Linked DNA regions of Astyanax mexicanus. The main gene of each other region encodes a partner of the protein of the gene in region 2 in a complex. Links are inferred from orthologs where the notes say so. Each region holds a gene or a part of one and is shown on either strand. Other genes may lie near its edges. The genes, in order: arpc1b, actr3 and arpc3.

Evidence for each region.
Region 1: actr3 (region 2) and arpc1b share a complex: the UniProt entries of both Homo sapiens proteins name them as parts of the arp2/3 complex. The link is inferred for Astyanax mexicanus from reciprocal best matches to the Homo sapiens genes ACTR3 and ARPC1B.
Region 3: the proteins of actr3 (region 2) and arpc3 are in contact, whole or in part, in a cryo-EM structure (PDB 6YW6), measured with the Homo sapiens proteins. The link is inferred for Astyanax mexicanus from reciprocal best matches to the Homo sapiens genes ACTR3 and ARPC3. Residues at the interface, in NP_005712.1 of Homo sapiens: Phe203, Gln206, Asp210, Arg211, Glu212, Leu238, Val239, Phe242, Asn243, Ile253, Asp270, Gly272, Tyr273, Glu286, Phe287, Pro290; in NP_001265485.1 of Homo sapiens: Tyr47, Tyr48, Lys50, Ala51, Phe54, Phe55, Lys56, Lys158, Trp159, Thr161, Cys162, Phe163, Val164, Lys165, Arg166.

What each region holds. Positions count from the first base shown.
Region 1 is NC_064410.1:54,828,273-54,839,101, forward strand, and holds the start of arpc1b (actin-related protein 2/3 complex subunit 1B), read left to right. Parts: upstream 1-5,655; 5' UTR 5,656-5,810; intron 5,811-7,229; 5' UTR 7,230-7,240; coding exon 7,241-7,304; intron 7,305-10,829. Other genes in the region: arpc1a (actin-related protein 2/3 complex subunit 1A), read left to right, coding at 78-185, 1,215-1,427, 1,539-1,614, 1,708-1,901, 4,475-4,565, 4,778-4,816. UniProt on the Homo sapiens protein: Component of the Arp2/3 complex, a multiprotein complex that mediates actin polymerization upon stimulation by nucleation-promoting factor (NPF).
Region 2 is NC_064418.1:35,511,832-35,523,548, reverse strand, and holds the start of actr3 (actin-related protein 3), read left to right. Parts: upstream 1-7,025; 5' UTR 7,026-7,179; coding exon 7,180-7,223; intron 7,224-11,717. Other genes in the region: solute carrier family 35 member F5, read right to left, coding at 1,238-1,300, 3,429-3,578, 4,180-4,285, 4,444-4,457. UniProt on the Homo sapiens protein: ATP-binding component of the Arp2/3 complex, a multiprotein complex that mediates actin polymerization upon stimulation by nucleation-promoting factor (NPF).
Region 3 is NC_064424.1:45,963,331-45,974,383, forward strand, and holds the start of arpc3 (actin-related protein 2/3 complex subunit 3), read left to right. Parts: upstream 1-6,584; 5' UTR 6,585-6,729; coding exon 6,730-6,735; intron 6,736-7,269; coding exon 7,270-7,369; intron 7,370-7,544; coding exon 7,545-7,621; intron 7,622-8,487; coding exon 8,488-8,556; intron 8,557-9,275; coding exon 9,276-9,402; intron 9,403-9,839; coding exon 9,840-9,934; intron 9,935-10,889; coding exon 10,890-10,952; 3' UTR 10,953-11,053. Other genes in the region: gpn3 (GPN-loop GTPase 3), read left to right, coding at 1,652-1,699, 2,432-2,540, 2,798-2,965, 3,279-3,403, 4,353-4,468, 4,562-4,658, 4,935-5,063, 5,302-5,367. UniProt on the Homo sapiens protein: Component of the Arp2/3 complex, a multiprotein complex that mediates actin polymerization upon stimulation by nucleation-promoting factor (NPF).

The DNA.
Region 1 (10,829 bases), on a different chromosome or scaffold from region 2:
TTAGGAGCCTTCAGTTTAAAACAGATCACATTGCAGCTGTTCTGTGCATAAATATGCTTTCTATGTTTTTTAAAAAGGTGGGTTAGCAAACACATCAAGAAGCCTATCCGCTCCACTGTCCTCAGTCTTGACTGGCATCCAAACAATGTACTTCTGGCAGCTGGGTCATGTGACTTTAAATGCAGGTAAGTTTGAGTCTCACGGTTACCTGGAATTTTCATTGAGAGTCCGCTATTCCCGTTATGGGCACGTGACTACTCGCAATCATATCACTCCTGTGTAAAGTCTAGGTTCTCCTTATAGCTTCACAGAAAAAAAAGAAAAAAAAAAGTATTATAAGCAGAGACCTTATTAGTGAGGATGTATGAATGGGATTTCTTGTAATGCTAAAAATTGCTCCTGTTTATGGAAAAAGTCTTGCCCTTAACAAAAAGAGCCAATCAGCTGCTTCTTGTGTGTAGACTGTAGGAGTGTCAGCATGCTGGTAGGAAAGCCCCTGTCCCGTCCCCCCATTCAAACAGACATAAGTGCCCGGCCAAGTGAACTGACATTTTTATAACAACTTTTTAAGAAGTTTTAGAGTATGTCAAATAATAAAAAAGTGGCATAATCAGAGATACAAGGTTTTTGTGTTGCCCCAGCGCTCACTGAGGGTTCAGTGTTTTCTGATTCTTTGTCCTGTAAAGCTGCTTTATGACATCAGTTGTAAAATGTGCTATACAAATAAATTTGATTTTGATTTGTTACAGTGACAATAACAATATTTGTTTTACTCTATATTTCCAAATGGTTGTGGACACTCCTTTAAAAAATGTTAGTTACACCAATTGCTGATACAGATGTACAAATGCACACTGTGTGTTTAGTCCCTGTAGAGAAGCCAACAGAATAAGACTGTCTGGAGCAAATAAACACAAAGCTATTGGTACCATGTCAAATGCCACACATGGACTAAAGGTTATCCAATCAGGTGGTGATCATCCATCGTCCTATAATCTAAGAGAAACATCCCCAGAAAATTAGAGACAGTTACTTCATCAAAAACTGCATAAAGTCTTTTAATACCTTTTGATTTCGAACAAAACCATGAAAGATCTTTGGCATCTATTTCAGACAATGCCATGTTTATTTGAACAGGCTGCTGTTGCTTTTCAGAACAGTGATGGACTTTTGTCTGTGTCCTTATAGTCATGTGACATCTATCTCTTTCGCAGGGTATTTTCTGCATACATCAAGGAGGTGGATGAAAAGCCAGCTCCAACTCCATGGGGGTCCAAGATGCCGTTTGGGCAGGTGATGGCAGAGTTTGGTGGGGCAGGCAGTGGAGGATGGGTCCACAGTGTCTGTTTCTCTGCCAGTGGGAACAGACTGGCCTGGGTCAGCCATGACAGCACTGTGACTGTGGTGGACCCCACAAAAAGCTCAACGTGAGAATCTTAATATGATTGCATTTTTTTATGTTTTCAGAAAACATTGTGTGTTTTCAGATTTGTTTTGTTGGCCCTTTTTTCTGAAAGACTGCTTCCTTTTGTTTGCAGGCCAAGCCCACTGAAAACAGAATTCCTTGCTCTTCTGAGCGTCACCTTCGTTTCTGAGAACAACATTGTGGCAGCGGTAAGGGCAGGTTACAGTTTACAGCACAGGTTCAGGTTTTATTGTCATTTTTGTCTCAGGATTCAGTTTTAAAGTGGTGTTTTTCCTCTGAAGGGTCATGACTGCTGCCCAATGCTGTTCAGCTTTGATGATGGTGGAACCTTGACCTTCATATCCAAGTTGGACATTCCAAAGCAGAGCATCCAGCGCAACATCTCTGCCATGGAGCGCTTCCGCAACATGGACAAGAGAGCCACCACTGAGGACCGCAATAGCACTCTGGAAACCCTTCACCAGAACAGCATCACGTAAGTCTCATGCCCTGGTCGTGGTCCTGAATAGTGTTTGGACACTGGCTTCAGATTAGGCCTGTAGAATATTGACAGAACTAACAGTTTTTCCACTGCAATCACTGCAGTCACAGATCCAACATGTCATGAAATTGGTAATTAGGACTGGATATCGAAATTTGATACCATAAAGACACAGTGGTCCAAAATGTCTCGGTACTACAGAGTACCAAAAGGTCCAAAAAAATTTGGTGCCTGTTTTCGATACTTTGCATTAAACCTGCATAAACGCGCACAGAAACACAGTCTCTTGCTTGACCTCTTGTGCGCCGTCTCTCTTTCTCTCTAGCTCATTCACGTTGTCTCTCTCTCATTTTCATTCGCTTTGTCTCTCACGCAGTCCTCCCCTCTACCCTGAGATATTATAATACAATAAAAAATGATCTAGTCTGCCAAACCTAAACCACACTACACTATTTTAGCTGTTCCCTCACAATAATACAGGGAACTAGCATGAAACTTGATATTTAATTTTTAAGTGATTGACACCACTCTAATAAAAATAATTTAGTTTTGCCAATCTAATGCAGATATTTTTTTAAAAGAACTGAAATGCATCCAGTATTATGCTTAGTGAAAATATTTGTAGTAACGCTGTTGTTTTGGTTCTTAATAAAGCGCCACAAACAACCAACAAGATCCAAAATTATGGTAGTCTCTCACAGTGATAGTTTAAACATGTTTTGTGAGAATAATTATCGCTTTTTGTATATATTTTTTTTAGTTACAATTAAAAAAAGATATCGAAAAAAGTATTGTTTGGGTATCTGTACCAGATTTAAAGTATTGTATCAGTATCAGTACTGAACATTTTTAAACGATAACCAGCCCTATTGGTAATGCACTTTGTGTAGCCATGTAAGCTAAAGGAAGCAGCTCTAACCTGTGGAGTTTTCCTAGAATTGGTAAATGTCTGCACAATTTAGAAATATAATGTCCCATCCATCTGGCACTCACTGCCGATCTCACTCAAACTGATGTTTTACGTTGCCTTTCCAGTGTACTGCTCTCCCATGACTTCTAGCATGCCAATGTATAATCAACCTATAGTAGATATGGCCTGGATATTTCCATTTTATACCAACTGCCAAAAAGGTTGTAGTGTGGTGTGTTTGCCTTTGCCTAATGTGTAGGGGTATAATGGTTACATGTGTTCTTTATGAATTATCAGTAGAGGGGTCATGGTTTGTGCAGTTGCAGAGGAGAATACACTGTACACACCGTTTATACCAATGTGTGATAACCAATGAACACAGTGAGTTATTTGCACGAGAAAACTTTAGCTGATTTGTACTGACAAAATTCTTTAAACTTTGAACTTAAGTTTTGTTTAAATATAAATTATATTAAATTATAACACTCCTCTCATTGCAAAACGTTTTATATTGTATTCAATTTTGTATTTTATAACAGTAAACATAAAATGTGTATTTCAGGTTAGATAAGAATACGACCACTGTGACTGTTTACATTTCGCTGTTTAAATGCAGTATAGACTGTATTGCTCACCATATTTTTCAGACTTTAAGGCGCACTATCAGTGAACGTCTATTTTCTGGTGTATTTTTGGATTATAAAGCGCTTTATGCAGCACTAGTAAGGATCATGGGTTCTAATTCAGCAGGTCTCACTGCAGGTGGGGGTAGTTAACTAAGTTAAGTAGAGCAAAGCAAAGTAAACACAACTGTAATTCTTAAAAATAAAAAAGGATGTTAATCTACACAGATTTATCTTCTGAAAACTAGGCAAGAAATGCACTTCCATTTATTTACAGTAGGCTTAGATTTGCAGATTTCCACTAGGTTAGCCGCAGTTAGCGCTAGTAAATGCTGCCGACAGCGCTACACTGAGGAATCCTGAGTGTTCTGGTAAGCCGCGGCTAATGCTGCTCCAGCAGTGCTAGTCGGGGTTAGCAGTAAGCTACAGGCCGATAATACTCCCCTCTGAACAGTAAAAAAGATAGCACTTATTACGGTTAGGGGCTAATGCTAATACTGCTCCAGTTTCGGTGCTGGAGAACTAAACTGAAACTCCTGTATAACGCTGTACTAAAATTCATACATAAGGTGCACCAGATTATATGACGCACTGACTATTTTTGGAAAAATTAAAGGATTTTGGGTGCACCTTATAGTGCAAAAAATTCGATACCTCAAGGGAAATATATAAAAGTACCTGGAGCATACTGGAAGTTGCACAATTACTGTTTATTTTTGCCTCTACTTTTCGTAGCAGAATCGCACCAAATTGTGGAATTTTGTGTACTGTTACATTTCTACTTAAGTGATCTTGAACATCCTGCTGTGTGACTACTACTCAAACATCACATGCTGAAAAAAATATATATATCACATGTACAACTCCACTTCAGATGTTGTGGCAGTTGGCATTTGATTTTATTTGACTGAGGATAAGATAACAAATAAGTTGGTTATGTTTAAATTCATGGAGGGGTTTACATTATTTTTCTCAGTGTTTTGATATAAATTTGTTCTGATCTGTAAGTAATCTCCTTTGCCTTTCCTCTGCAGCCAAGTGTCTATATATGAAGGAGACAAAAGAGATTGTCGCAAATTCTGCACTACAGGAATCGATGGAGCAATGACCATATGGGACTTTAAGGTTTGCCTTTTTGTTTGTTGTGCTTTTGTTGGCATCTCTTTTTTTTTGTTGTTTGTTTGCTCGTTTGTTTTTTTAGAATAGAACAATCTTTGTTTTCCTTGCAGTCATTTCTCAATCTTGCGTAAGAAACATGCTCTGAGCTCAACAGCTCACTGTATTTGATCTTCTTCTCATTTTTCTTCTTCTTCTTCTTCTTTTTTTTGTCTCCTCAGACTTTAGAGTCCTCTATTCAAGGCCTACGGATCATGTGAAAGACCTCACTCTGAACTAGCACGACGCAGCGCAGGCAATGCAGCTTGAAGACTAACAAGGAGATTTCTGATAACACTTCTGAAAGTTTTTAACTGAGAAAAAAAAAAGCACTGAACAGTGGTGTGAGCTGACGTGACACTCTTAAAAAGAAACAAATGAAAAAAAAAAATGGAAAAACACTAATGGAAAAGGGGGTTAGGGTCTTTTTTTTTGTTTTGTTTTTTTGGGGGCTTTTTTTTTTTTTTTTTTTTTTTTTTTTAATTCTATGCCAAAGCTGGTGCTCCAGCAGTCTGACATTTGATCTTGGTGTTCTGGGGAACCAGAGAGGCGTTAAATTAAAGGAGAATTTTATGTAAATGGTCTGCTAGAAATAAATGAAGTATACTACACACCATTTGGGAATGTAGTGTCTTGTCTCGTTCTGTGTGACTTGTTGTTATTATTAATTTAATGAATGCATTTAATGCTCGCGTTCGGGATGTTTGGTATTGCTGTTGAATGTTGCACAACTTTTTGGGATATTTGATTAACTGCAGCCTCAATTCATGCCAAACACTCACCCATCCACAGCGAATAGAAGGTTTGCTAGTTGGTTTAGTGTTCACATTGCACATTCTGGACTCACTGTGTTTGTACAGGCAGCACACACACACCGGCAGATGAAGGATCGCGAGAGTAGCTTATGTTATACATGCCTCTGAGCAGGATGTTGAAAGGAGTTGAACAGAGAAGGCTGGCCCCGTTTGCAGACAGCCGCCCACACGAGGAAGTGGTTAAGTGTCTCAAACAGGAAGGGGGAAGAACACTTCTTTTTCTTTTTTTTTTTTCTTTTTTTTTTACGTATATAAAAGGTCTAAGGAAATAGTTGAGTTCATTGAGAGCCGAGCCAGCGTTTGTGTTGACTGCTCAGAGTCCACGAACTCAGGCTGCTTCTGTTCCACCTCTTCCTATCTGCTAGATCTCAGGGAAACTTCCCGTTTAACCATTTCCAGGGTGAGTAGATGAACAGATTTTTCTGTTTATGTGAAGCGTAGTGCAGGCTTTCAGCTAGCTGCTGCAGGGCGTGTTCTGCTCTATATATGTATATATATATATATATATATGTGTGTGTGTGTGTGTGTGTGTGTGTGTGTGTATGCAGAGCTTCAAGTGTTGCGAAACTAACATGTACTAACATGTTATTACTACTATTACGCCTTTGCATAACAATGTCATAACTGTTCCCAGATATACAGCTATAAATAGAGGTTTTGAGGAGGAAACTGTTGTTTCTTATGAACTGTTGAGAAGACTTTAGAAGGCGTAAGAGGCTCTTTAGAGCAGGGAGGGAGCTCTGAATGGAAAGTCTGAGATGAAAAGGTGTTGAATGTGTTTTTCTCCTGCAGTTGTCATCCGGCTGTCTGACCTCACGTCACATTCCTTTCTGCTCTGCTTTTAATTTACTGCAAAAGAGAGAGAGAAAGAGGGGAAAAAGAGGAAGTTTAGTTCCAAAGGCCGGCTGGGAGCGTTTTAGACTAAATCTAAATTTGAGCTAGACATGAAAGAATGTGTTTATTTTATTAGGGGTGGGCGATATGGCCCCAAAATAATATCATGATATTTCAGGGCTATTTTTGCATTAACGATATTCTTGGCAATAAACTTTTTGCTGTTTTTATTGTATAAAGACAAGTTTCAAACAATCAGTAGAAACAGAAAAAAATCTGTAAATCTGTGCCGAATTTTTAGTGCATGCATATTAACTGCAAACAAACACAATTATACTCTTAAAAAGTAAAAAGCTTAAAGCTCCACTGTAAATACAAAAAAAACCATACTGATTACAAGATCAAATATTGCTTTAATCATTATATACTGTTCTTTTTTATTAACTAATTTAATCATAAATTAAATAAATTATAACATTTTATACTGTGTAATACAATATGGCACACCCCTAGTTCACATGTAGATCAAACACAATGGAGTTGACTACATAAGGAAGTTCAGAAAGTTCTCCTTTTAGAGCCGCTGCTTCTTGTTCTCATTTCTGCGGAAGTGAAGAAGCGTGGCCTCACTTTTTGATTTTTTTTTTCTTTTTGTAAATTTAACACAGATATAACTAATTAGCAGGTGTTCTCACCAAGATCAAAGTAGATGTTTTTTTTGTGCAATAAAAATATACCAGAAATGTTCAAATGTATGAAGAATTTGAGACTTTAGATGACACATGCTTCCATCCATCAAAACCTCTAAAAGCTATAATATGCTGAAAAGTTCTCCCAAAATCCATGTGTGGACTGAATTATAGATAATAAATAAAAAAGTATTTAGATATGGTTACTTGGATGTGCTCTTTTAAACATTTGAGCAGATGCTAAAGGTTTGAAGGTGTTCAGTTTGTTCTTATCTGCTGCTGTATCTGATCTGCAGAGACCTGAACCATGGCTTACCACAGCTTTCTACTGGAACCCATCAGCTGCCACGCCTGGAACAAGGACCGAACCCGTGAGTTCTGCTGCTCTTGTGTAGAGCATCTTCCAGAGTTCTGAAGGCCTTTAAACATCTCAAAATCACAAAGATGTCCACCCTAGCATGAGAGGGGGGCTATACTATACTGAAATACTATCACAATATTTCAGTGTTTCAATGTTGTAATAAGATATTCTTGGTGATGGGACTAAAAACATATTTTATTAATTTAAAAAATATTTTACTGCAACAAAATAATGGTGGTTTCATTGAGTATTAATATAAAAGTTTCATAGATTCAGTATAAAACAAAAACATTACATTTTTGTCATTTTTTTTATCAGATACAGCATGATAATACTGTAATAATAATATTTAACAGCAGATAATAAGTAACAAACAAACATGTAATAATGTTTAACAGCAGATATATATATATATATATATTTTAAATGTAATAATAATGTTTAACAGCAGATAATATTTGTAAAAATCTGTATTGTTTAACAGTAGGTATTTTTTTAGTAATAATATATAACAGAAGGTTATATTTTTTAATAAATAAAAATGTATAACAGCAAATAATAACAAAAAATCTGTAATAATAATGTTTAACAGCAGATATGTTTTAAAATCTGTAATAATAATGTATAACAGCAGACAATAATGTAACAAAAAACCTGTAATAACGTTTAACAGCAGATAATATTTTTTTTTTAAATCTGTAATAATAATATTTAAAAGCAGATAATATTTTTAAAAACCTGTAATAATTTGTATCAGCACATAATATTTTTTTTTAATCTGTAATAATAATAATGTTGAACAGCAGATAATATTTTTTTAAATCTGTTATAATGTTGTAATTATTATAATTATAAATATTATTACAATCTGTAATAATAATAATGAATGACAGAAGGTGAAAATTTAGCTAAATATTTTTTTAATAATAATGTATGACAGCAGATAATATTGTAGCACTAATTATATAATAATAATGTATAACAGCCGATGGAAATATGGCACACTCCTGCACAGAACATGGATTATAGGCAGGCCTGTGTTGGTGCAGATGCTGGAACATGTGGTTGCTACATTAGGCTGGAGCGTCTGGTCCCAGGCCAGGTATCTGCAGGTATTTCCGCAGGACTCGCAGCAGGAGGCGGCTGCTGGGTTTTCATAAGCTTCTCTGATTTATGGACTCACTCTTTAAAGCTTAATGTTCACTGGGAATGTTCACATTTGTAATGTAGATGTATGTAGTCGCTCCAAACAGACAAACAGACACTAGGCTGGCTGTCCTTGTTTTGGCTCTGCAGAAGAACAAGGACGGGTTTGTTGGTGTGTTTTTTTTTTCTACTACTTTTTGGAGATCACACGCTCAGAAAGAACATTTTTGGTGTTTTTTTTTCTCTGAAGGTTCCTGAATGCATTTGAGTGGCTCAGTAAACAGGGAGAAGAATGGGTATTTTCTCCCCTGATGTTCAGATTAAATTAGTTCATATTTAATTCCCTGTTTCAAGTCTAGGATCATTGATAACATCCATATTGGCCATTGTGTTTTTTTGCATGTTTGTTTATGTAAGAAAGAATGTCACCAGTATTTTCAATACTTACAATAGCTTGAAAGATAAGCATAAATGTTATCGGTTGGCTTCTAATAACAATTATGTTGTAGCGTCACCAAGATTGGAGTAAAAAGGCCAGACCATAGTCATATTGAGCAAAATATATTAAAATAAGATTAAAGCATGAGTGGCCAGTAAAAAAGCAGCAGTTTTCTTATAAAAATTGCAGAGCTCTTATCCACCTTCTACCAGAGGTGGAAAAAGTACTGAAAAAATGTAATTAAGTAAAAGTACCTTTTCTTTGCTAAAAAGTAGGAGCAGGATAGTTAGAAAGCTAGCTAGCCACTAAATCTTGCCAGTAATTCTCATAGAACTCTGTTTTAAGAGTGCATCTAAAAAAATCTTTGTTTGAAGGCCCATTTAGCTATAACTCTTCACCCTACCCCTCCAGCCTAACAAAAATCAGGACACCCCTACCCCTAGACGTTCACACACAAAACAAAGGGGTAGAGCTAAGTGGTAGAGCCAAGGGGTGAAATAGGATTGGGCCTAAACCTAGTCATAGAATATATTTTCCTTTCAGTGGAAAATCTCCATTTTAAAATAACAAAATTTAATCCCTATCATGGAAATAAAGGAATCCCATTCATATAGCTTGCCATCGGCTGCCGGAGCCCCGAGAGAGCACAATTGGCCTTGCTCTCTCTGAGTGGGTAGATGGCGCTCTTTTTCCACTCATCACTTGAAGATGATGTCCACAGCATGAGGCATCTGTGAGCTGATGTATCAGAAAAGAGTCGCTGTGCTTTCCTCCAAGCGCGCTGTGATGCTTCTTGGAAATGCTCAAAAATCAACAGCAGTTCAAAAAGAGGTGGTGGCTGACTTCACATGCATCAATGGAGGCATGTGCTAGTCTTCACCCTGCTGGTGTTGGGGTATTACTAGTGGTAGGGGGGGTCCTAATGAGTGAGTGGGGTAATTGTCCTTGTAAATTGGGGAGAAAATGGGATAAATAAATTAATAAAAGAAAGGAAAAGAAAATGCACATCACACAGGAAATGCTGCATCATCACAATCTTGAGTATGGGGTGAGTGCTCTTAAGCAAACCACCATTCAAGCCCTGAGAGCCCGTGTGTTGGTTTAATACACCGTTCTGCTGAGTCTGCCACTCTCAGGGAAACCACAGTCCACTGCCCTGCCAAGCACGCAACTTTTAAACTCAGATCAGGCTGTTTTTTTAATCTCCTTCCTGTGCTTTCAAACTCTGCCCAGCACAGCCAGAATCCAGCAGCTGGGACGGAGCGAAGACTGGGTTTAAACCACCATCAGGCCGAGAGAACGGGGTCTGGAACAGTCGCCCCTTTGTTTTTAGTTGAGCAGAAACTGATGAGAAATGGAGAAAAGGGCAGCGTGGTGTCTCTCTCTCTCTCTCTCTCTCTCAGTCGCCACCCTGCTCATTTTTTCTGCCCGGCTCTGATGAGAGAAGCAGTGATGACTAATCCCCCCACTTCCTGTTTTACCATGAATGGTGCTCTGTTGCTGATGTGGGAAGTCTTAAGCAGGCCGCTGGGTCTGAACAGCGAATCAGCTCGTCTGCACACTCGCCTGCAGCGGCCCTGTGGAAACAGCACCACGCTCCTGAGCTCGCTCAGGCTGACAAGGATATAAATGATGGAGCACATCTGCTAAAGCAGAACATGGGAGTTCTGTCAGGTTCTTACACAATGTTCTTGCTTCATACTTTACTAGATGATGTCAGATTTGAGCTTCTCTTATTGACCAAATGATGATCTTTTATGTCTCAGGAGACGTATTTGTAAAGTGAGGATTCTCACTTATGTTTCATTTAGAGATCAACAATGCCACAGATGTGTCTCCTAAAATTGCTTAGGGGTAACGGCATTAGACAAAAATGAGACATGAGATACATCTGAGCTGAAAGAATCAAAACTGAGAATTTAATTTTTGATTTAATATTTGAGAAATCTG
Region 2 (11,717 bases):
TGATGTCATATTGATAGGCTCAGCCTTACAGAAAAAAAAACAATAATATTATGTCTTAAATTATGTCATACTTGAGGTAAAGCTGTAATGTTGACGTGTGACTGATATACTTTGGTAAATTAGATCTGTAGCTTGCTGTTCCTCACATCTGATGCCTTTTAGTAGATGGATTTTGTCTAAACAAATTATTTTACAGCAGGTATATTTGTTGTTGCATTATGATCTTAAATCATTCATGTCTTAAAAGGAAATCTGGACTGTTAAATTTAGTATATTTTAAAATTAAATATTGTGGGTCAAAGAACTGAAGCATCAACCAAAGCTAATTAGGGGTGGGACATAACTTATTATTAAAATTTCTGATGCATTATTGATATGTGGCATCAAATATAGATCTTTTTATTTAAAAATAAGCGCTCTGAACTCCCTAAGACTTGCCCCTTAATAGAGTTACTACTGTTAAGCTGCATCGCAACTCAACATAAAAATAAGATAAACCTTCAACGAAGAATATTGATTAAAGAAATTCTGTGAATCTGGCACCAATAAAATCATAATTCCAGGTATTTGCTTATTTAGGAGTATTTTATCCTCTTCAGTAACACAGAAGCCGTAAAGTATCATAGAGAATTGTCTTGCGATATATAGAGATCATTACTGCAGCCAAACCATCGTGAGATGACCCGAGATCCCCCATCTCTGATGCTAATTACTGTAAAACTGATCTTGGAAAATATTTTAAGAATTTTTGCAAACACTTCACACATGCACAAACACAGCACGTAAAGGACAGTGTCCATGCAGATTAGACAATAACAAAGTCCTATTATTGCCTCAATAAACCCACTGCCCTTGCAAATGCAGCTGCAGTCTCCACAAACATGCCTAATGTGCTCAAATTTTACTATTTAATATGCTTAAGAAGTTTATCAATCCTAGTTAAGAAGAAAATGTAAATCTACCACATCTCAAACGCCCAGTGGCAAATGCTAAAAAAAGAAAAAAAAATCACAATTATCGGCACTCTGCTTTGATAAGGGTGGATGTGATGAGAGTTGTGGGGTTTTTTTTAATTGTGCAGACCCTAATCAACTTCCTGTATTGTGTCTTGGAAACAACATCTTACAGTTCCCTTTAGCTGGCTGTAATCAAGCAGCGCAATCAAGCTCAAAGTGGTTAAATTGTTCTTTTGTGTACAAAGCATACGGTACGTGCTTCAGTGTGACAGTATACTCACTAAAGAGTTGTTAAAGCTGTTTTCAGTTGCACCAGCAGACACATAAGAACCAGCATCAGGAATCTGGAAAAGAAAAAAATGCATTAAACCATACCAGAATACTAAGATTTAAATAATATTTTAAAATTAGATTGTATTATAACAACACTGCTATTTCAACAGTGGTCAGTGTAGACTGTTAAGGACAGTGATGACAGTGACTGATAACAAGGTTGTGAGTTCTATACCCAGATCTACCACACCTTTAATGCTGGGCCCTTGGGCAAGTCCCTTAACTCTGGCCCTCTCATCTGATATTGCAATGTGGTTTGAGCAACTTACTATCAAGAACAGAGTTCTTGATCACTGTGTGTATGTTTCTTTAGGGTGTATGTGTGTGTTTACTGCACAGATGGTAAAAAGACTGCCACATTCCCAGAACAAGTACCGTATTTTTCGTACTATAAGGCGCAAGTAAAATACTCTAATTTTCCCAGAAAATATCAGTGCGCCTTATAATCCGGTGCTCCTTATGTAGGAATTTTACAAGTCAGGTTGTAAGGAGCAGTAAAGCCACTCTACTGAAGCGCAGCTTTATATAGGAGTTTTAGCTTAGTTTTCCAGCAGTATTAGCGGTACCCGCTAAGCGCTAGCCATTCGGCCATTCAGAGGTGAGTATTATAGGCCTGTAGTCTGCTTTTAACCCCGGCTAGCACTGCTGGAGCAGCATTAGCCTTACAAGATATCTGTGCTAGCCATTTGGTCGTTCAGAGGTGAGTATTATCGGCGTGTGGCCTGCGCGTTTACCATGTTAAAACAAGCTACGTGGGATGAACCGCTAGCTAATATCACCCTGGCTTTCCAGAACACTCAGGCATCCTCAGTGTAGCGCTGGCGGGCGGCAGTTAGATGGCATTAGTTGTAAGCCACTAATGCTAATGCTCCAGCCTTAGTGGAAATCTGGAAATTTTAGCTTACTGTAAATAAATCTAAGCATTTTACTCACCCAAATAAACAGTTTTCAGGAGTGAAATCTGTGTAGATTAATATCCAGCTCTCGTTTGACTTGTCTGACTTACAGTTTTGTTTTATTGTTGTCTATAATCTGGTGCGCCTTGTGTATGAAAATAGACCAGAAAATAGACGTTTATTGATAGTGCGCCTTATAATCTGGTGCACCTTATAGTATAGTGAAGTCTTTGTTTCTGGGAGGCACAGTGGCTTAGTGGTTAGCAGTTTTGTGCGTTTTTCGTGAACGTTGAACTGAACGCAACACATTTGTTAATAAAGAACTTGAACGTGAATTAGTTCACTTTATGTTTCATGAACGGCAGACATCCCTGTAAATAAACGTTGGAATTTGTTTTCCATTGAAAACTGAGTGACATCTGTTTTCTCTTTTGAAACGCAACAAGAGAAAGTTCCTCCCTCCTGTATTCTCGCTGGAGGAGCAAGTGCGCGAGAGAGAGAGCGAGAGAGAGAGAGTGACAGACCAATGACGAGAGTGAGAGAAAGCGCTGCAATTTGAAAAACAATGGCTAGTGGAAGTGATGGGATGGAGACAGACACCGATTCTCCTTATGAACACTTAAAACACTTTGTACTGCTGTTTCATCACCTGGTAAGAAACCCACAATTGCAGTGTCATGAGCAAATGTCTACAATGAGCAGTTTCAAAGAACGTATAGTGATTTCTAGCTTGTAGTGTGAAAAAAAAAGCATTTATTTGAATATCTCACAAAAAAAGTAAAATGAACTCAACTTTGAACTAGTTCAGAATTCAAATCGTGAACTTTGAACGTGAACTGTTCACTTTGAGCATGTATGAACTGAACTGGAACTAGTTCAGAAAAGCTGTGAATTGGAACAACACTGGTGGTTAGCACGTTTGCCTTCCAGCGCTGGGGTCCTGGGTTCAAGTCCCATCAGTCACCTTGTCTGCGTGGGTTTTCGAACGGTTTCCTCCCACAGTCCAAAAAAACATATAAGCAAGTAATTTATTTTTGCTGAGATATTTCCAAGATGTGTTGCCCAGTGCTTATCCTGCTTCTGTTTACAGTGGAAATTGACCCACAGTTTAGACATTAGGAAAAATATCCACATTTTTTTAACCAGCCTACCAATGGATGTCACAAACCTTTACCATGTAAGGATTACTTATATTAAAAATACAAACTATCAAAAGCAAGACAAAGTTATCTGGAGAACTCACGAGGCTGCTGAGCTGCTGCTGATAACGAGCTGCACACTGCTGCCTCCATGGTTTCCAGAAGAGGAATCCAAGTAAATACAACACGAACATGGAGGTCTTCACAAAGGTGCTGAAGAACGGCTTACTGTACTGCTTCTGCACAAAGATGTACTGAAACACACAAACAAACACAACCCACGTAAGGAAGTCATGTATTTCATCCATTTTGTTTTCCAGAACTCAAGCCAGTGAGTTTATCTTTAATTCTGATACATACTTATAAAATATGTTCTTACTACCTCAACCCTTTTAAAAATTAAACAAAGCACACTTTGAAAAGACAGCCCTATCTGAAGTGTACATAACACACTCTTAGCTCTTACAGTCTGAACAAATGTCAAGGACTAAAATCCTTTGCATATCTGAATCCTTTAGAAAGGAAAGCTTTTTACTTTTCATCTTTTTCTCACCACTTATAAATTACAATACATTAGATGTCTTAAGCTGGTGAAAGATGATTGGGCGATGAATAGAAAAGGGCAAGGTTATAACATCACAGCCATTATGAATTTAAAAGGGACTGCTTCTGTAGGTCAACTTTCATAAATGTATGGCCTGGGGAACGAAGAGCAGGTTTAAAGCATTTAGTTTTAATATGGACCATTTAACAATAATAATACTAAAAGGGAAAAGAAGTATAGAGCATAGCACATTATACAAGCATATTATGTGTAAATGTGTGTAAAAAATGTGTACTGTATGTAGATCTTACTGCAGTGAGTTCAGATGACGCAACCCAGATCACATCCACAAGCAGCAGGATGACCACGCCCAGCACCAGCCTCCTCTTCTGGGCACCACATACCCCCCAACTCATCCTACACATACACGCAAGCAATGGAGGTAATGCGTTATTTACATCTGGCTTATATGTATGCATTGCAAACAGTGTATGTGGGTAAGTGTTCTGCAATGCAAATATTTAGCACAAAACCAGCAACACATCCAACCCTATTGGTTGAGTGAAGGTCCTTACCGTGCCGGACGCATTAGAAACGGACACACCGGTCTCGGCCAGCCTCTCTCTCCACGATGTGGCACAAAGCCTGCATCACACAATCACTAAAAGCCAGAGCAAAGACCTTAGAACAGTAAAATAAATAAGTTATAATGTAAATAACCAAACAGACAGTCGTTTGCAGTTATTATTAATGACCATGCTACCAATGAATCGTGTCCATTTAAATCATGATTTCAATTAAAAAACGATTAATCGTTCAGCCCTACTGGCAGAGTTTGTTTGCTAACGCTAACGAGTAAGCAAAACAAGCTAATACACGCTTGTCTAGCACTCTCCTGCCTGGAGAGAAATTTGAGAACAGCACTTTATGGGTCTTTTTATCCAAGTAAAATATAAAAACAACAGAAAACAGCAATTATTCACTTAGGAAAAATATCCTTTTAAATATATTTATAATATAGCTTGAAGGATAATATTAATGCACACTGAATTTAATTTTTAACTGAAAAAAGAAGAGAATTGTGGTTTTTTAATACTGTAAAGTCTCTAATGGCTTCATTAATAACATATTGTAAATTGATGTTTAACTTGTGTTTTACTTGTGCAATAGAGAAATGTTTTTTTAATACCTTAAACTTAAAAGGTATTTTAGGTCAATTCACAGTGTTTTGTAAAAGAAAGGTGATTTTATGGGACAAAGTAAAACCAATAGTAATCAAAGACTTAATGTTTGATATTAGATATACTCCTAACAGTACATCAAGTCACAAACCAATATAAAAGCCCAGTCATGCCAAAACAATAAATAAATAAAATAATAATAATACTGTGATATACCATGAAAGCGACAGAACCTTAAAAAATACAGTGATAGACATTTTGGTCATACCGCCCCACACTAATTAAAAGAAAAAATACAATAAAGCAAATAATAAACTTACCAAATATAAAAATACTCACTAAAATGCTGTTACATTTACAACAAGAATACAACAAAATCACAGCACTATATAATATAGATATTATTCACAAACAAGAACATTACTTATCTACAGTAAGGAGATATGATAAAAATGCTAAATGAACAGTAATGCAATTATAAAGCTGTGCTACAGTAAAATGACTGTGAATGTAGACAGTAAAGTGCAGGGTTATTTCTGAGCTCTGGTGGCAGTTGGGGAAGAACGAGTTCTTTAACCTGTTGGTCTTTATTTTAGACTTCTTGACAGAGTAGTGAACAGAGGCTTGTGACATTGAGACTATGATACATTTTAATTTATAATTTTACCTAAATATCATTACACTCAGCTCTGTTTAGGAAAAAATCAGCTGTGTTTTGATAAGCAGCGCAGCGGTCAGTCAGTCAGAGAGGTACAGAGAGCAGAAAGCAGACTGGAGCTCTTGGTAATTCGGCTCCTCGGTTAATCTAGCTAATGTTAGTGTTAGCTATTAAACACTACATGTAGGTTATATGTAGACATTTAGCTACAGTACCTGCTTCAGTCGGCACGGCCTCGAAACCCGTCTTCATGCGTTTATCAGGCGAGGTTACGAACAATCTGCGGCTTTGTAAAGGATAATAACTCGACTGGGTGGTAAATATTTACATGAGTTTTATGAGCTCGGTCTCCTACTCATGACTTCACTTAGCGCATCAGCATCATGGTAAATGTAGTTCCTAGTTCTGGTACTCTGTCCTGTAGCTTACGTACTAAAACTTCATCTCCCAGAATGCAAAACAGGCGGAGCAACTATTTGCAAGTTTGGCGTGACACTTTTCGGTCGATTCACCATCTGATAAATATAACCTTATATCTCCACTCTTATAAGGAACAATTTACTTTATTTACTGCAGTTCATCTAACAATGATCTAACAGTAATGATTCTGCATTCCTACGAAATTAGGTGGACTTATAGGATATGCCAAAAATACAATACAATACAATAAAAAAATTGCCTGAGGTAAATTATTAAGTAAGCCAATGAATATGTGTGAAGAAACTATAAATATGTGTGGTGTGAGTTTTATGAGATTTTGTATTCTACTTTATATATAATAACGCATTTTAGAACCATTTTTACAAAGAGATTTTTCATGTAAGCTGCATCAAACATTATTATTATTCGAACTTCCTGAAAACTAATTGGAACTCCTTTTCAAAAAGATTCGAATCTTTTAAACGGATCATAGATTCAAACTGCTTTTTTATCGAATCTTTCAGAAAACTGGATTTAGACAACTTTTTAAAGAATTACATTTTTTCTGAAAATTGATTCGAATTACTTTTCAAAAAGATTGTAATCTTTCTCCTTAAAACTGATTTGCAAAAAGATTTTAGTTACTTTAACGAGTGTTAAACGTGAACTCAGATCTGTTATTTGACTGTTGGCACCTTATTTCTGTCTGTACAATGTTTGAATTGTGTCTGTTATGGTTTTATCTTGGAATAAAAGGAGAATTTATACTAAAAACACATTTTTAAGGTTTGAGCCATAGACGTAGACAGACAATCTATGGTTTGAGCTGACACTCGCCCCTCTGTCTGCCTGTAGGCGTCAATGCGCATGCGCCCTCCGTCCCCCCTCCTCACCGGCGACGGCCATTTTCTCTCCGCTGAGTGCCGACCGAGTGCGGAAGTGGCTGAAAACTTAAGGGTTCCGCCTTTAGATTGGCCGCTGACCACACTGTGCTGCTCTTCTGGAGGCAGAAAGCTTTAATACCGGCTTCTAAAACAGCGCAGAGCGGAGAAATGGCTGGGAGGCTGCCGGCGTGCGTTGTGGATTGCGGCACAGGGTGAGTTTTCCAGCCGATTCCACAGTGGCAGTAGCAGCAGCAGCAGCTCTGGGTGTGTGGATGTGGATGTGCTCTGTTAGATCTATTATCTTCCAGTAGAAACCCGCTAATATACGAGCCTGTGGTCGCTTTTCCTGTAGACACGCAGCTCTGCTTTTGTCCACAGTGGACGGGGTGTCAGAACAGCTCTGCTGCTGGGGTGGATGAGGAGCCTGGGTTTGGGTGGTGGCTGTGTGCAATGCTAGGTTAGCTAACGTTATGAAGCCTGGAATGGGCTTTCACTGGCGAGATGTGTAGCTACATATCATCAAAACGCTTCATTCCAGCTCATGTTGAACATGCACACATGTTTACAGACTGCGACAGTAAGCGCAGTGTGCGGGTTTCCAGGTTTTATCAGGTCAGGATTCTCCTAAAAACCCACATTGCCTGATAAATTCTGCAAAACTCATTCTGAGTGGCGCCGCGCATGCGCAGTCCAACTTCCTAATTTTACTGACAGTCAGAGCCGCTTCCTGCTTCTCGCTTTTTGCTCCATATATGGTCGTGTTTGACGTTTGGACGGGATTTTAGTTAGGTTAGCTGTGTTTTATTCTGTCCTGCGGCAACAGACCGTGTTTAACCAATGGTAAAAGGGTCGGTTTTGTGTTTGTAGTTTGTAGTGGTGTTTCTGAAACTGAACTTTGCGCTTGGTTTTGGATGCTGCTTCTCCTCAGCACTGAAGCTAACCTAGATAACAAACCCAGCTAACGGCTAATTCTATCAAATATACAGCAGCACCAACCCCAGCCTTGTTATACCCAGCATATATAGCATTGTTATAGTATTTAGCTGCAATATAGCTACCTGACAATAACACAACCACATTTTATACCTCCACCTTATACTGCTCTGACATACTCAGCACTAAAATAATATCACAATATCTCAGGATATTGCTGTGATAACAAGAGTGACTGTTTGCAAGTTTAGCATGACTGTAGAGAGTGAAGAAAAACATTTATATGTCCAAAACTATGTTTAATTAAAATGTCTTTTTAAAAGGATATAATTGCTTTGTCATGCAATTGTACACTGTCTGGCCAAAAAAAAGTCTGCACCTGGATTTAACTAAGCAAATGAATGAGGTCAGCTGACTACCTAAATATATTGAATATAGAGCAGGTTATTCCATCAATGGATTTTTTCTTTCCTGATTGCACGAGCATATTCCAAGATGACAATGTCAGGATTGAGCTGGAATTGTAAAAGAGTGGTTCCGGGAGTATAAGATCAGCATTTTTACACATGCATTGTTCACCACAGAGTCCAGACCTTAACCTCAATGAAATATTAGTGTGTGAGCTTTTTTTCAGCCAGGCAGTGTAATATCACAGTATCTTAGGATATTTTTGCGGTAACAAAAATTACTGTTTGCAAATGTGTCATAACTGCAGTAGCTGGAAAAAAGTATATATTTACCAAACTGTGTTTAATTAAAATGTTGTATTTAAAGGGTATAATTGATTTTTTTTTCATTATGTAACTGGTCTTAAAATGGCAATAATATAGTTTATTAAAATAATTTTGTGACAATATATCATCCACAAAAATTATCATGGAAGGCCTATCCCTAGTTGAGATTTTCAACAGATTGTAACAATAAGTAAGTCAATCATCTAACATGTCAAGATACTAATAATGCACTCCATATACCCAGGATTGAAGTAAAATTAATGATACTGTACAGATATGCTCTGTCTCTAGTCAATATTTCATGGGAAATGAGAACAGTGTTATTAAGGTCTAACCGTTACACGACCTTATTATATTATTACACCTTATAACCAGCATTAACACTCTTTTATCACTTAATTTTATTTTAATACCGCTTATACACTCTATACCTGTTGTACCCTTAATATTAATTAAACCAAACTCTTAACTGCATAGTCATCCTTTATACTACTATAACTGCTGTTTTTCTCAGCACTAAATAAACAGCATTGTTTAGCAATAGTTTTATACCTCAGTCTTATTTTCCCCAGACATACTATGCCCCACACTAATAAAGATTTTGTACCACCTGTGATTATACTTTCATGTTTATTAAACTCAACATTAACAGCAGACACAACCCTATTATATGTAGACTTATAGCTTTTCTCTCCATATTATGCTATAACTGCATTATACTCTACATTTATACATCATTTACTCAGTACTCAGTACTCAGCAGTAGTACATGGTGTATAGCCATATTATTCTATTAAGCCATCATCATTTACTCAGTACTCAGTACTCAGCAGTAGTACATGGTGTATAGCCATATTATTCTATTAAGCCATATACTCAGCATAAGCGTATGCATAGAGATTATACAGCCTTATTGTCCTGCTCAGCCTTATACTGAGCTTATAAAACCGTATTATCCTGTCCAGTCTTATTATTCTCAGCACTAACAAGGATCGTTCGCAGAGTTTGTATTTGTTAAACAGTATATGATTGCTGTCTTGCAAATCCTTGTATTTCCAAAATAGCAACTTCACAGGAGAATTTTTTTTTTTCATTTTTAATTAAAGTAAAATTAAATTGTTTTATTCCAAGTAATTTTGGACCATTTTATTGCTCTGTCAATATTATTGTCAGTATTGTTCATTTGAAGCTACCACTTTTAAACTATGCCAAATACAGAAACAAATATGAGCTTTTGGCGCAACAGCAGCAATATTAAAACGCATCCTTATATATTTAGTGACAGTACTTGGCTCTGCTTGACTTCAGCTGTTGCTAAAGGGCCTCTTTCTTTCCCCTTTTCCTTCACCTCATCTCCCTTTTTGCACAATATAGATTTTATCTGTTCTCTGTAAAGTTGTTGATGCATATATACTTTTATACTGAACTTGGTATGTGGTGAAGGCTGTTCCCTCTGAAGTGTCAACATGTTGAGACTTGAACATTCCTCACTGCATACCTTTCCCTCCACCCCCTTCGCTTTGAGCCATTACAAGCATCTGTTCAGAGAATGGATGGGGAAGAGTAGGCTGTTTCTGTAGCACAGATGTGTGTGTGTGTTTTTTTTGTGTGTGTGTGTGTGTGTGTGTGTGTTTGTGTTTGTGTGTGTGTGTGTGTGTGTGTGTGTGTGTGTGTGTGTGTGTGTGTGTGTGTGTGTGTGTGTGTTTATGTGTGTGTGTGTGTGTGTTTGTGTGTAACCCAGTCTGAGATGTGTGAAAGCCTCACATCCTCTCTCTGACCTGAACTTCTCTGCATGGTCTGCACCACTGCTTTTTATAACTCATAACGCAATGGAGAAATTTGACCAGCATCAAATCCTCGTCATGTTGAGGCTGCTTCTGCTTCTGCTTCTGCTTCCCTCTTCAACTCTTGTTCTGAAGAGTCAGGGCTGGAGTAATGTTTGCTTTTAGTATTTTTAGTTTCCTGACAGTGCACAATTTTACAGATGTGCTGTAGTCGAAGTGTGGTGGTCACTTCCTTAGATAAATAGACTTATGTAGAGCTAAGATTTTTGGTCCAGTTCTGATCTAAAGCATGAATATTTTATTACACTTAAACAAACATTTTAGTGCAGCTTTCCATCCATTCCAGTCCAAAGCTAGTTTATTTTAACCTAAGAAAATGTTATCTTGACTGCTCAATCTTTTGAAAACTGACCTGCTCTGTTCACTGGGTGCTCTGTAGTTTGGTCTTTTAGATGCAAATGCTTTATAATGACAGGGGAAATATATACCTCACATCATTTGCCTGGACTTAAGATTGACCAGGAAACCAGCAAGGCCTTGTTCCTGTAAGGTGTGTTGTAGCTTATCAGGTGTGGTTGCTTGTTTTGGATTCAGGCCAGTCTGAAATCAGAGCTAAAGCATGCCTGTCCACAAAGACTCACTTTAATGCTGGAAATATAAGTGGTGTTCTCAGATTTGAGGTACTGAATGAAATATGCTTTACAATAAAGCCTAACTGGACTTTGTATTGTTTTTGACTGACTGAGATGTTTAGATTTAAGTTTAGGCTAAGTCATCTAGCTCTATTAGCTAGGTGTTATTGTATCCTGATGAACTTGGTAACAGTAAGCTTTACTAAGATTTGATGGGGTATGTTAGATTAATGATATATTTTTTGTTTAATACCTTTTGATAGTTTTGAAAATCTGAGCATCCTCGGACTGTGTTCCATTTAATTCAGTGTCGTGTGTCAAATCTGGGAATTATGTCGCACCCAAATTAACAGAATTACAGTTAAACATTCAGATAATTTCCAAGAAATAGTTAGTTAAAGACTTTGAGGTTTATCCTCACTGGTTGTACAGTCTTTTTGTCTTTTCTTTTTGTTGAATCCAGTAAAAATACCTGTTGATAACAACCCATTACACTGTATTTTGCACATCCAAACAATGTTAAAACATGTTCACAGATAGAAGTGGGACAGGTATGTTGGTACAACTGATAAAGTAGCACACAAATAGATTAGAAGTGCTATTAAACTCTATGAAACTTCTGC
Region 3 (11,053 bases), on a different chromosome or scaffold from region 2:
CGCTTCTCCGGAACACCTCGGACTCGGTGAAAGCCGCGCGGCGCGTTATCCCATTGTCGCAGCTGTTAATTAGAGGAGGAGACGCGCGCGCGCTGCTGCAGCTACACTGCCCGCCTGCCTACTGAGAGCCTACAGAGCTTCTGCCTGAGGGGGGAGGGGCTTGAGCAGGAAGGGGCGGGACTACGGGGTGTGACTGACAGTTAAAGGAGGACCCTGCTCAGCGTGAAAGCATTACAGCATCACATACATACATACACACACACACACACACACATATATATATATATACTTGTACACATATACTTGTATATATATATATATATATATATATATATATATATATATATATATATATATATATATATGTATACTTGTAGATGATATACGAAACTGAACTGATACTATTATTATTATTTAATTAAATAATATTTGGGGAAAATATCTTGTATTATATATGTAAATAGAAAAAGTACTCTTTTTGTTTATTTTTATTATTGTTCATATTGTTTATGAAGGTTATGTCTGTATGTCTTTGATCAAAATCAATTCAACCTTCCAATGCTTCTGTGTTTTATACTGTTCAGTAAAATGTATGCATTAGTTTTGATTAACATTTAACTACTATGCCCCTGTAAGCATAATAACAATATACAACAAATATATAGCATTGTTGAAGGTAGTATACACCAAGATTTATTTATGTAGTACCACTATAATATTTAGTCTCTGTCTCTCTCTAGTGTCAGGGTGGAGTGATTACACCACTGAAAAATCAAGTTTGTATAGGTTACACGTTCAATTCCAGCTGTTCTGCAGTTCGGTATGGAGGACGAAAAATGACAAGCATAAATAAATACATGCACATATAAATAAATAAATAAATAAATAATAGTATAGGTAACTTAATTAATAAATATATTTTGAATATCATATTAGGAATCACTGTTCATATTTCCATGCGTGAACCTTTATTATTCTTTTTTTTTTTTTCAAAATTTCAACATTTATATTCTGTTATATTATTCCCACATTTCTTTATTTTATTTATGTATTATTTATTTATGTACGTATTACTATATTTCTTTATTTATTCATTTCTGTATGTATCAATCAATATATATGTATTAAACAATAAATATATAGATAACAATAAATGCAGAAAAATACAGAAACAGACCCAAATAAAGTGGATGGAAAGTTAATGGAAACATGATATAGTTGATATCGTTTTAAGTGAGTGCTTTTTTCATAAAAATGTATTTATTCATGTATTTACTTGCCTATATATTTATTTATTTTATTTTATTTATATGTGCAATTATTTATTTACAATTATGTATTTTTGTGCACTGACTCGGCAGCGCTCTCTGGTGGGTATTCGAATCTAGAGAGATTGGCGATTCTCTGAACGCTGTAGTTTTTGATACTCTTCGCTTTCCGTAGTTCTGACTGGTCAGCAGGCAGCATGGAGGCAGTGGGAGATTAGTGGTGTGGTGTTTACAGTCAGAGATAGAGATATGAATACAGTTACAGAGATATTTCTGTGATTTCTCTCACTGTACTGTAATATAAATACTGTAATATATTCTGTAATAGTGGAGAACTGCGTTATTCAGAAGTTATAAAGCTGTTTATAGTAACTTAGTTAATAATGCCGCGCTACGCTCAGCTGGTGATGGGACCCGCCGGCAGCGGAAAGGTAAAACTATTAGATCAGAGTTTAATATAAAACTATCAAGCTAAATTAAAGCTGTTAAATCTGATTATACTGCTTTATTTTAGTGTTTTATACAAATCTATCCCTATTAACATACATTCAGTATTTTCTCTGGCTACCGTCACATCGCAGGAGTGTAAATAGGATACTAAATTAATATTTAGAGCTAGGAGTGGGCCCTAAAATAATATCACGATATTTCATGGTATTTTCGCGATAACGAAAGTCTTGGCGATATGACAAAACACTGAATAAAAAAAATATTATTATTGTATACAATATGATATTATATATGTTACCCCTAACTGAGATATTAAAAAATGTAATGTAATGTAATGTAAAAAAAAACACAAGAATTTTATCAGATTTGTAACAGAAGTCAATGATCCAAAATGTCATGATACTAATAATAATGCGTTCCAAATATCTCCATATATCCAGGATATATCCAGTAAAATAAATGATACAGAACAGATATAATCTGTCTCTAGTAGATATACTATTTATATATAATGTGAATAAATAAGATAAAACTCGAAATCACTTGAAAAGCTTAATGGATGACTGTAAATTAAGTACATTTTCACTTACAGACACTTACAGAAACATAAATAAGATTAATCCCATTTAAATAAACACAGAAAGAGAGTGGTTTTTGATTATTATTTGATTATGCTGCTCATTTTAATAGTGAACTACTCTGCTCCTCCACAGAGCACCTACTGCTCCACTATGATACAACATGCTGAAGCCATCAGCCGCTCTGTGCAGGTGGTGAATCTGGACCCGGCAGCAGAACACTTCGACTACCCAGTGATGGCAGGTAAGACTGGAGACAAATCGACCAGCAATAAATCCAGAAATACTCAGAATTGTACAAATGATTGTTTTTATTGTTAATGTTAATCCAGGTCAGTGGATGAGGAATATAACACAATGAAAATGATATTTGGTGCCACGTAACGATAAAAAACAATATGGTCAAAATGATGCGATATATTGATATATTGTCCCGCCCCTAATATTAAAAGACGGCTACAAAGAATCTTGTTGTTTTCTGTTGTTTTTGTAATGGTACAGATATCCGAGAGCTGATCCAGGTGGATGATGTGATGGAGGACGATTCGCTGAAGTTTGGGCCGAATGGAGGACTTGTGTTCTGTATGGAGTATTTTGCGAATAACTTCAACTGGCTGGAGGAGTGTCTTGGTCATGTTGAGGATGACTACATTCTTTTTGACTGTCCAGGTAATTCTGAAATTCATTGCCATTAATCCATTATTAAGATTATGGTAATGATAATTGTGAAATAAAATTGTGAGGAAATTCATTAATACAAAAAAGTGACTTTAATGGATGTTCTCGCCTAAAACTATTCTTATTTATGTCTAATTTGACCCCATTTTTACACAGTTCCTATCAGCTGGACCACTCAAAGCCCCTAGACTAAAACTATTAACTATTATCCATTCTTTTATTCTATTTGTGTTTTCATCAACATCTGTGTTCTCTTTAAATCCACATTATTTATTCCCATGTGTTTTTTCCTCTCTGGCTGCAGGTCAGATAGAGCTGTACACACACCTCCCGGTTATGAAGCAGTTGGCTGAGCAGCTGCAGCAGTGGGAGTTCCGGGTGTGTGGGGTCTTCCTGGTCGACTCTCAGTTTATGGTGGAAAGCTTCAAGGTAGGAAATTAATATTGTTTTTTGAAAAAATAAAATAACAATCAGGATTATTGCATTTTCAGCTCAAAAACACCCTAGAGCAGGGGTTCTCAAATGGTCCTTTATTTTTCTCCTGGTCATTAAGTTACAACCCACTTTAAATTCAAACCAAACTAATTAATAAAAATATAGCTTTCAAAAAGCAGTTTAAACATGCATATGCAAGCAAAGTGAATTTTCAGAGCACTTCAGAGCATTTAAGAAACTAAGGAGGTTCATAATAATTATATGTATAAAAGTTACTACTATTAGGTTAATATTAAAATTGCACGAAATAAATAATAAATAAATAAATAAATATTTCACTTCTCTGCATATCTCTGCATTGAGAGTATATAAAATACAAAAGAGTACAAAACCAGATGAACATAAATTATTTTTAATTTTAGATTTTTTTTTTATATATATTTACTTTTACAGTAAGCTTTTTATGACACGCCCAGAACGTGCCCACAGCCCACTTTTGGGTCCTGAACCACCAGTTAAGAATCACTGCTCTAGATTATCAGTTTCTAGCAGTTTTTTGTGATGTAAACTTCTGTATTGTCTTTAAAAGCAAAAGAAACACACTAATATTTTTCATATTTAGTCAAAACTCAAACTTTTTAAAACACTAAAATTTATTTTTTTTGTCCTTATGTATTTATATTTTTACTTATTTTAATCATTTCTTATTTCCCTATTATACCATTTTATAAATCCTTTTTAAAATGTATATGAATAATGTGAAATACTGGAAAAGGGAAAACGTAAAATTGTATTTGTATTGAATTACATTGTACTATGTAAAATAAATAAACAATAAGCCAAAAAAACATTACAATTTGGATGGTAACATATCTTAATGTGTGACTAAATAGATGTTATTTAGTTTAAAAAAAACACCCATCAGAAATGCTCTGTTTTCTAGTTTATTTCAGGTGTAATGGCGGCTCTGAGTGCCATGGTGGCGCTAGAAATCCCTCAGGTCAACATCATGACCAAAATGGACCTGCTCAATCCAAAAGCCAAGAAGGAAATAGAGAAGTAAGTTTCCCAAAGAGTGTCGGTCTGTATTTGACTGTATTCGTGTGTAAAATCTGTAATAAAACACAGATAAATATAATGTTTTTACTTCAGGTATCTGGATCCAGACATGTACTCCATGATGGAGGACAACTCTACAACCCTGAGGAGCAAAAAATTCAACAAACTCACTAAAGCTATCTGTGGTTTGGTAGGTTTACAATGATGCCTGTTTTTGTATTATATTTTATTAAACAATTAAATAGATTTTTATGGAACAGAATATTTTATTTTAATATGTACATTATAATATGTAAAGAGTTGTCTGTCATTGTATTTTGTTTTATTGAAACTATTTCTATTATTATATCTATTTTTATGTAATGCAATTGAGGAGGTAGGTAGGTCCCAAATTTTATATATTTTATATGTAAATATGACATAAAATACATTGTATTTTAAGAAACAGATTTGTGTTTGTGTACAGATTGATGACTACAGCATGGTGCGCTTCCTGCCCTTTGACCGCACAGATGAGGAAGGCATCAACATTGTTCTACAGCACATCGACTTCTCCATTCAGTATGGAGAGGACCTAGAGTTCAAGGAGCCGAAGGTAAACACGTTATTTAATTTGTCTTTTTAGTTTACCGTGTAGATTATCATGTGGTTGCCAGGTTCAGTAAAAAATATCCAGCCAAAATAAGTCTAAAACTTGCCCTTCAGAAGCCTAAAGTAGCCCAATATCTAAGGTTTAAATGCAGTTGATTTAAATACAAAGGCTTTAAAGGTGTATGATTATTTCCATTTATTTTTCATCATTATATTACTTAACAATTTCCCTTTTTCTTTAGGAGACTGAGGAGGAGCCTAGCAACACAAATTATGATGAATTCTTTCAAGACAAAGTGGATTACTAGACACTTCATCATAGAAATACAGCCTGTTTGACACATAACAAGACTAAAAGTCACAGAGATGCAGTGCTGATGAAACGGGCACTCAGCAGCAGGGTGCTGTGACCCTCCCAGCCTGGAAGTGAAGAGCACCGCTGCAGGACATGAGGAGGAAATGTCGGGCAGTCTGAAGAGTCTGAAGTTCCTCAAGAATCTAGTTTCTGTGCGTGTGGGTGTGTGTGCATGTTTTCAATACAGACTGCATAATTATTATTCTCCTAATTTTATTCTTCCTGTGTTTCCTGTCTGTTCCTACACTCTTTAAGTATGGGATGATGCATTCTTACATTCTTAGAGCTGTATAATAAATATTTTTTCAATAAAATATTTGTAAAAGTTTATTACATGTGTTCTGATGGTTGTTGATCTGAAAAATGTAATGTTTAAATACAAATTACATATACATAAATAGGTATGAATTACTACGACATGACAATGGCCATACTATATACAATTATGTATGATTATATAAATATATATATATATATATATCAGTATGTTTTTGTTTAATATGTGTTTGATGGTTTATAATGATCTACAAGTATGGCCAGTTTAATAGTGTGTGAATGAACATTTCATGTAAACTTTTTTCATGTTAAACTATTTAATATACCACAGTGGATCAACACCAGCAGATGACATGACTCTCAAAACCATCACTGATCATCAGTAAATTTTACATTTTATTTAAAAATCAAGGGAGCAGAGTCTGGAGGAAGAGTGGAGAGACACACAGTCCAAACTGCTCGAGGTCTAGAGTGAAGTTTCCACCAATCAGTGATGGTTTGGAGAGACATGTCTGTCATCTGCTGGTGTTGATCCACTGTGTTTTATTATCAAGTCTAAAGTCAGTGCAGTTTTGTTTTCCCACAAAATCTTACAGCACTTCATGCTTCCCTCGGCTGAAAACAGCTTTTATGGAGATGCAGATTTCATTTTCCAGCAGGACTTGGCACACTGCCTACACTGCCACAAGTTTTCATTGGCTGTAAGACATAATCATCACCAATAAAATAAATAATTTCATGCTTAAAATAGATCATCCTGTGTGTAATACTGTAAGACGTTTATGTAATATATGCGTTTCACATTTTAAACTGAATTACTGAAATAAAGTAATGATATTTTTAATAATATTATTTTTTTTTTAGATGCTCTAGTTTTAGTATAGTATATGCGGTTATCTGCCCCTAGTGGTCAGTATGGGAACTGCAGCCCAAGCTCTTCCTGTATAGCGGTTGGGTGGGACTCACAGCGGAAGCGGCGTTTTGCAGCGCTGACACTATCCATATTTTCCTCACCAAATCCCGCTTACCTATCAACAAAATGCCGGTAAGAAAATGTTTAAAGTCTCTTTTAATAGAACGTCATATTAAAACGGCTTTTAAACAGTATAATCTTCGTTTTCGGGTCTTTTTCTGAGCCACGGTAGCTGGAGCTGATGGTCAACCGAACGAAGCTAGCTGCACGGCTAGCAGCTTCCCGTCCCTCCTCAGACATTTTCAGAGAATTTTAGCTGGACTTTCTGATTTTAAAGCTGATTTTAACGTGTTCTGTTTGTTTAAAACACCTGCATGTGTTTTATGAGTCTTAGAGGTTTGCTGGTATCGCATATAAGCAGTTAATACACATTTTTTTTAGGGATTTAGGGAGCTAACCCCAGCTAACTAACTAATACATAGCTTTAGCTTAGCGAATGTATTGCATTGGTAATGTAACCCAGTGTAGTTTCAATACTGTAACGCTATAACTAGCTATAGCTAAGGCTGTTGGTATTTTTATTTGCTTTAAAAACACATTATTGCATATTTAATAGATTTAATACTAATTCCAACGGGTTTTCCTCTTTTTTTTTTGGATTATCAGGCTTACCACTCCAGTCTGATGGATGGCGACACCAAGCTGGTGGGGAATATGGCATTACTCCCTCTCAAAACACAGTTTAAAGGCCCGGCTCCAAAAGAAAGTGAGTTATTATTTTAGTAATAAATGTGTTTTTAAAAATACATATGCTGGCTGTGTCATGTGTCCAAGCCGTAGGGCTCCAGCATTACTTCCTTAAATGGTTGCGAACTGGCTGCACTACTAACTACATCACCATAGACTCAGATTCATCATCTTCCTGTTTTCTATTTTGACAGCCAAAGACCAAGATATCATCGATGAGGCTATTTATTACTTCAAAGCCAACGTTTTCTTCAAGAACTATGAAATTAAGGTACGTACTGCAAGCCTGCAATGTACTGCAATACCCAGGAAGTAGCTGAAGGACCCAGGACTGTAAAAAATGCACTCATGCCTCAACCTGCATTCTTCTAAGATCTGCCTCTGCAGCCACCTTCAGTTTAGCCTGCACTGGTGCTGTATTCGCATGCTTTTTGTACAAAAAAAAAAAAAAAAACACATAAGCAAATATGCAATCAGCTGTTCTTTACTACTTTACTACTCTACTTTACTATTTCATGGTATTTTCGCAATAACAATACTCTTGGCAATATGATAAAAAAACTGAATTAATATATATATATATATATATATATATATATATATATATATATATATATATATATATATATTTCAAGAATACACTTCTGCGGCAAAATTTTAATTCCATTCTATTATTGCATACGATAGAATATGACAAACCCCTACTATTCACTGATCACAGTATGGGAAAGTATCTGAGTAATGTTTTATTAATCTTTCACTACTGATGCTTTTTGAATGTAATTACATGTATCATAATAAATGCTGTGTATTGTTAAAAAAAAAAAGCAGACATGTTATTTGCAAGGCGCTATAGATGATTTTTTTCTTTAGTCCAGCTTTTTTTGTCCAGTCCAATATGGCAAAATATCCACGACACACACATATATTTACATTTACTGTTACATGTATGGTATATAGCTGAAACACACAATTTTAACTGGTACTGTAATTTATTATGGTAACAGTGAAATACAGTCATGCCTTCATATAATCACATGTAGGGTCGCTCTCTGTTTTGTACTCTTTTATGTATTGTATTGTAAGCACATACGTCTTTTCTAGCAGTAATTGTTTTATTTGCTTAATTTTTATTAGAATGAAGCTGACCGAACATTGATCTACGTCACCCTGTACATCTCTGAGTGCCTCAAGAAGCTACAGAAGGTGAGTGTGCCTGGAGTAATAATAATAATAATAATAATAACAATACAATTAAATTACACATACTCAGTTCCTATTGTACTTCCTGTAAACAATGGTTTCTCTTCAATACCATCCTGAAATGATAGTGGTACTTCTATACAGTGGAGATGGTTCTCACATTTCCATAAAAGCCCTATTAGGAAATGTAATGGACTACTTAAACGGCGATAGATAGGTGGGAAGTATTATATATTTTATTTTATCATTATTTTCTTATCGTAAGTACAAATATAAACTTTTCAAGCATATTGAGGATTTCTTCAGTGTTTAAAAGTTACTGGCCTAATTGTATATTTATAGATATATATTATAGAGAGCATAATTAGTCAAGAATAACTGGAAGTATTGCAGTAAATTGTACATAAATCTTAGTATGGGAAAATTGTCTTTAAAAATAGTGTTATTATATTTGTATCATGTCGCATAGCCCTACTATCAACTATTTGTTAGTATGGATACACACACACACACACACACACACACACACAGTGCAATGGACAAGTGCTTGCTTGGCTGAATCTTATCACAAAAACCCTCATCGTAATGCCAGGTGTAAACCGACTCCAGTAATACATGGGCACGTTATTATTGTTATATTGTTTGTGGCCTCATCATTTATGCTGTAAATTAAAGGGTTTACTGATACATGTAACAAATACATCCTTCTTTATGTCCTGCAGTGCAGCTCAAAGGGTCAGGGAGAGAAGGAGATGTACACGCTGGGAATCACCAACTTCCCCATCCCAGGAGAGCCTGGATTCCCTCTGAACGCCATGTACGTTAAACCCTCCAACAAACAGGAAGAAGGTACGAGATAACTGCTGCTTCAGTGAATGAATGAATGAATGAATGAAGTTACACTTAAATAACGCCTTTCTAGAAACCAATGACACTTTAGAATTTACACATTTTTACACACAACCCTTTATACTCAGCACTCATCCATACACCGGCGAGAAGCAGCAGCCAATAGAGCACAGCGTACTCTCAACCGGAAACCACAGTCCACCTGGAGGACTGCATCGGCCACTACAGCATTTTACAGCAGAGTCCATATCTAGGCACACAATTCCCTACAATACATATATAAATTAATTTAGAGTATTAAATGTTTCTATTTTTTATGTAACTATATCTGTTCTATCTGTCTATCTGCAGTATGAGTAATCAATTTGAAATGCCTTCATATCAGTGTCCGCTCCCTTTCTAATGTTGACCAAGTGATTGTTGATTGTTTTTATCAGAGACGATGAGGGCTTACCTGCAGCAAATTCGCCAGGAGACCGGCCTCAGACTGTGTGAGCGCGTGTTCGACCCACAGACAGACAAACCCAGCAAGGTAAGCATATATTGTTACACACACACACACACAGGTTTCAGGCTGGTAATCACAGTATTATAAATCAGTGGCTCTCAAGCTGTGATACACAAAGCATTTCAGGGTAGTACACCAGATTACTTCAGAAAATTAAATGAATTTACAAAAAATATTTAATAAAGTTTTTACATCTAAGGTTTGTTTGTGTTTAATGTTTAATCTGGTAGACCCTGTATGTAAGATAACACTTTTACACAGTTTTTTACAGTTTCATAGGCCTTACAATTGATCTCTGTGGAACTCCATTCACAATAGTCTCTATTAGTAATAACAGCAAAATAATTAGTCTGGGGTGGAGCCATGTAGACTCTGTAGTCCACTACATTCTCATGTTATTTCCCACTGTCTCAAGATTTCTCAGTAGGTATACTGCATTTACAATATACAATAATCAGTAATTTGCAGATTGGCTAAAGTGCCAATAAGTTTTTTGGTTTAATCATGGCGCAACATTGCTTTAAAAAGTTTGAGAACCACAGTTATAAATCATTTTTCTGAGCCATAAGAGAGCATTTAGTGTAAAAAATAATTCCAGATCTACAAACAATACAGCTAAACATAATTACAGTTTTACAGAGTTCAATTCCATCAGCAAGTCACCTGATTTACCATTACTAAGCTCTGATTTATGAAACCAAATGTTAATATGATGAGAACTATAAATAATACTCAGACTAAGAAACAAAAGTTTAAAAACACCACTTTTTTATTAATATTTTTTACATATATTCTAATAATGTTTTTAACATTACTAACAAGTACTGATCAGAAAAGCAGCTTTTTTTTTAAACTTATCTTTTTCACATTACTGGTAATTATATATTATATATATAGTTTTATTTTTTAATGTTATGCTTCCAGTGAAATATTAGATAGTACATTAATCACATGTTTAATGTCTCTGCTCTTTTCACAGTGGTGGGTGTGTTTTGTAAAGAAACAGTTCATGAACAAGAGTCTGTCTGCTCCTGGTCAGTAGGAGGCAGCTGGGATTTTCTCTTGGTACTTTTTACACGGCGTGGATGGATGTGATTGGATTATTTTTCCAGTGTCTGATGTTTTCCTTTATTTTTTGGGGGG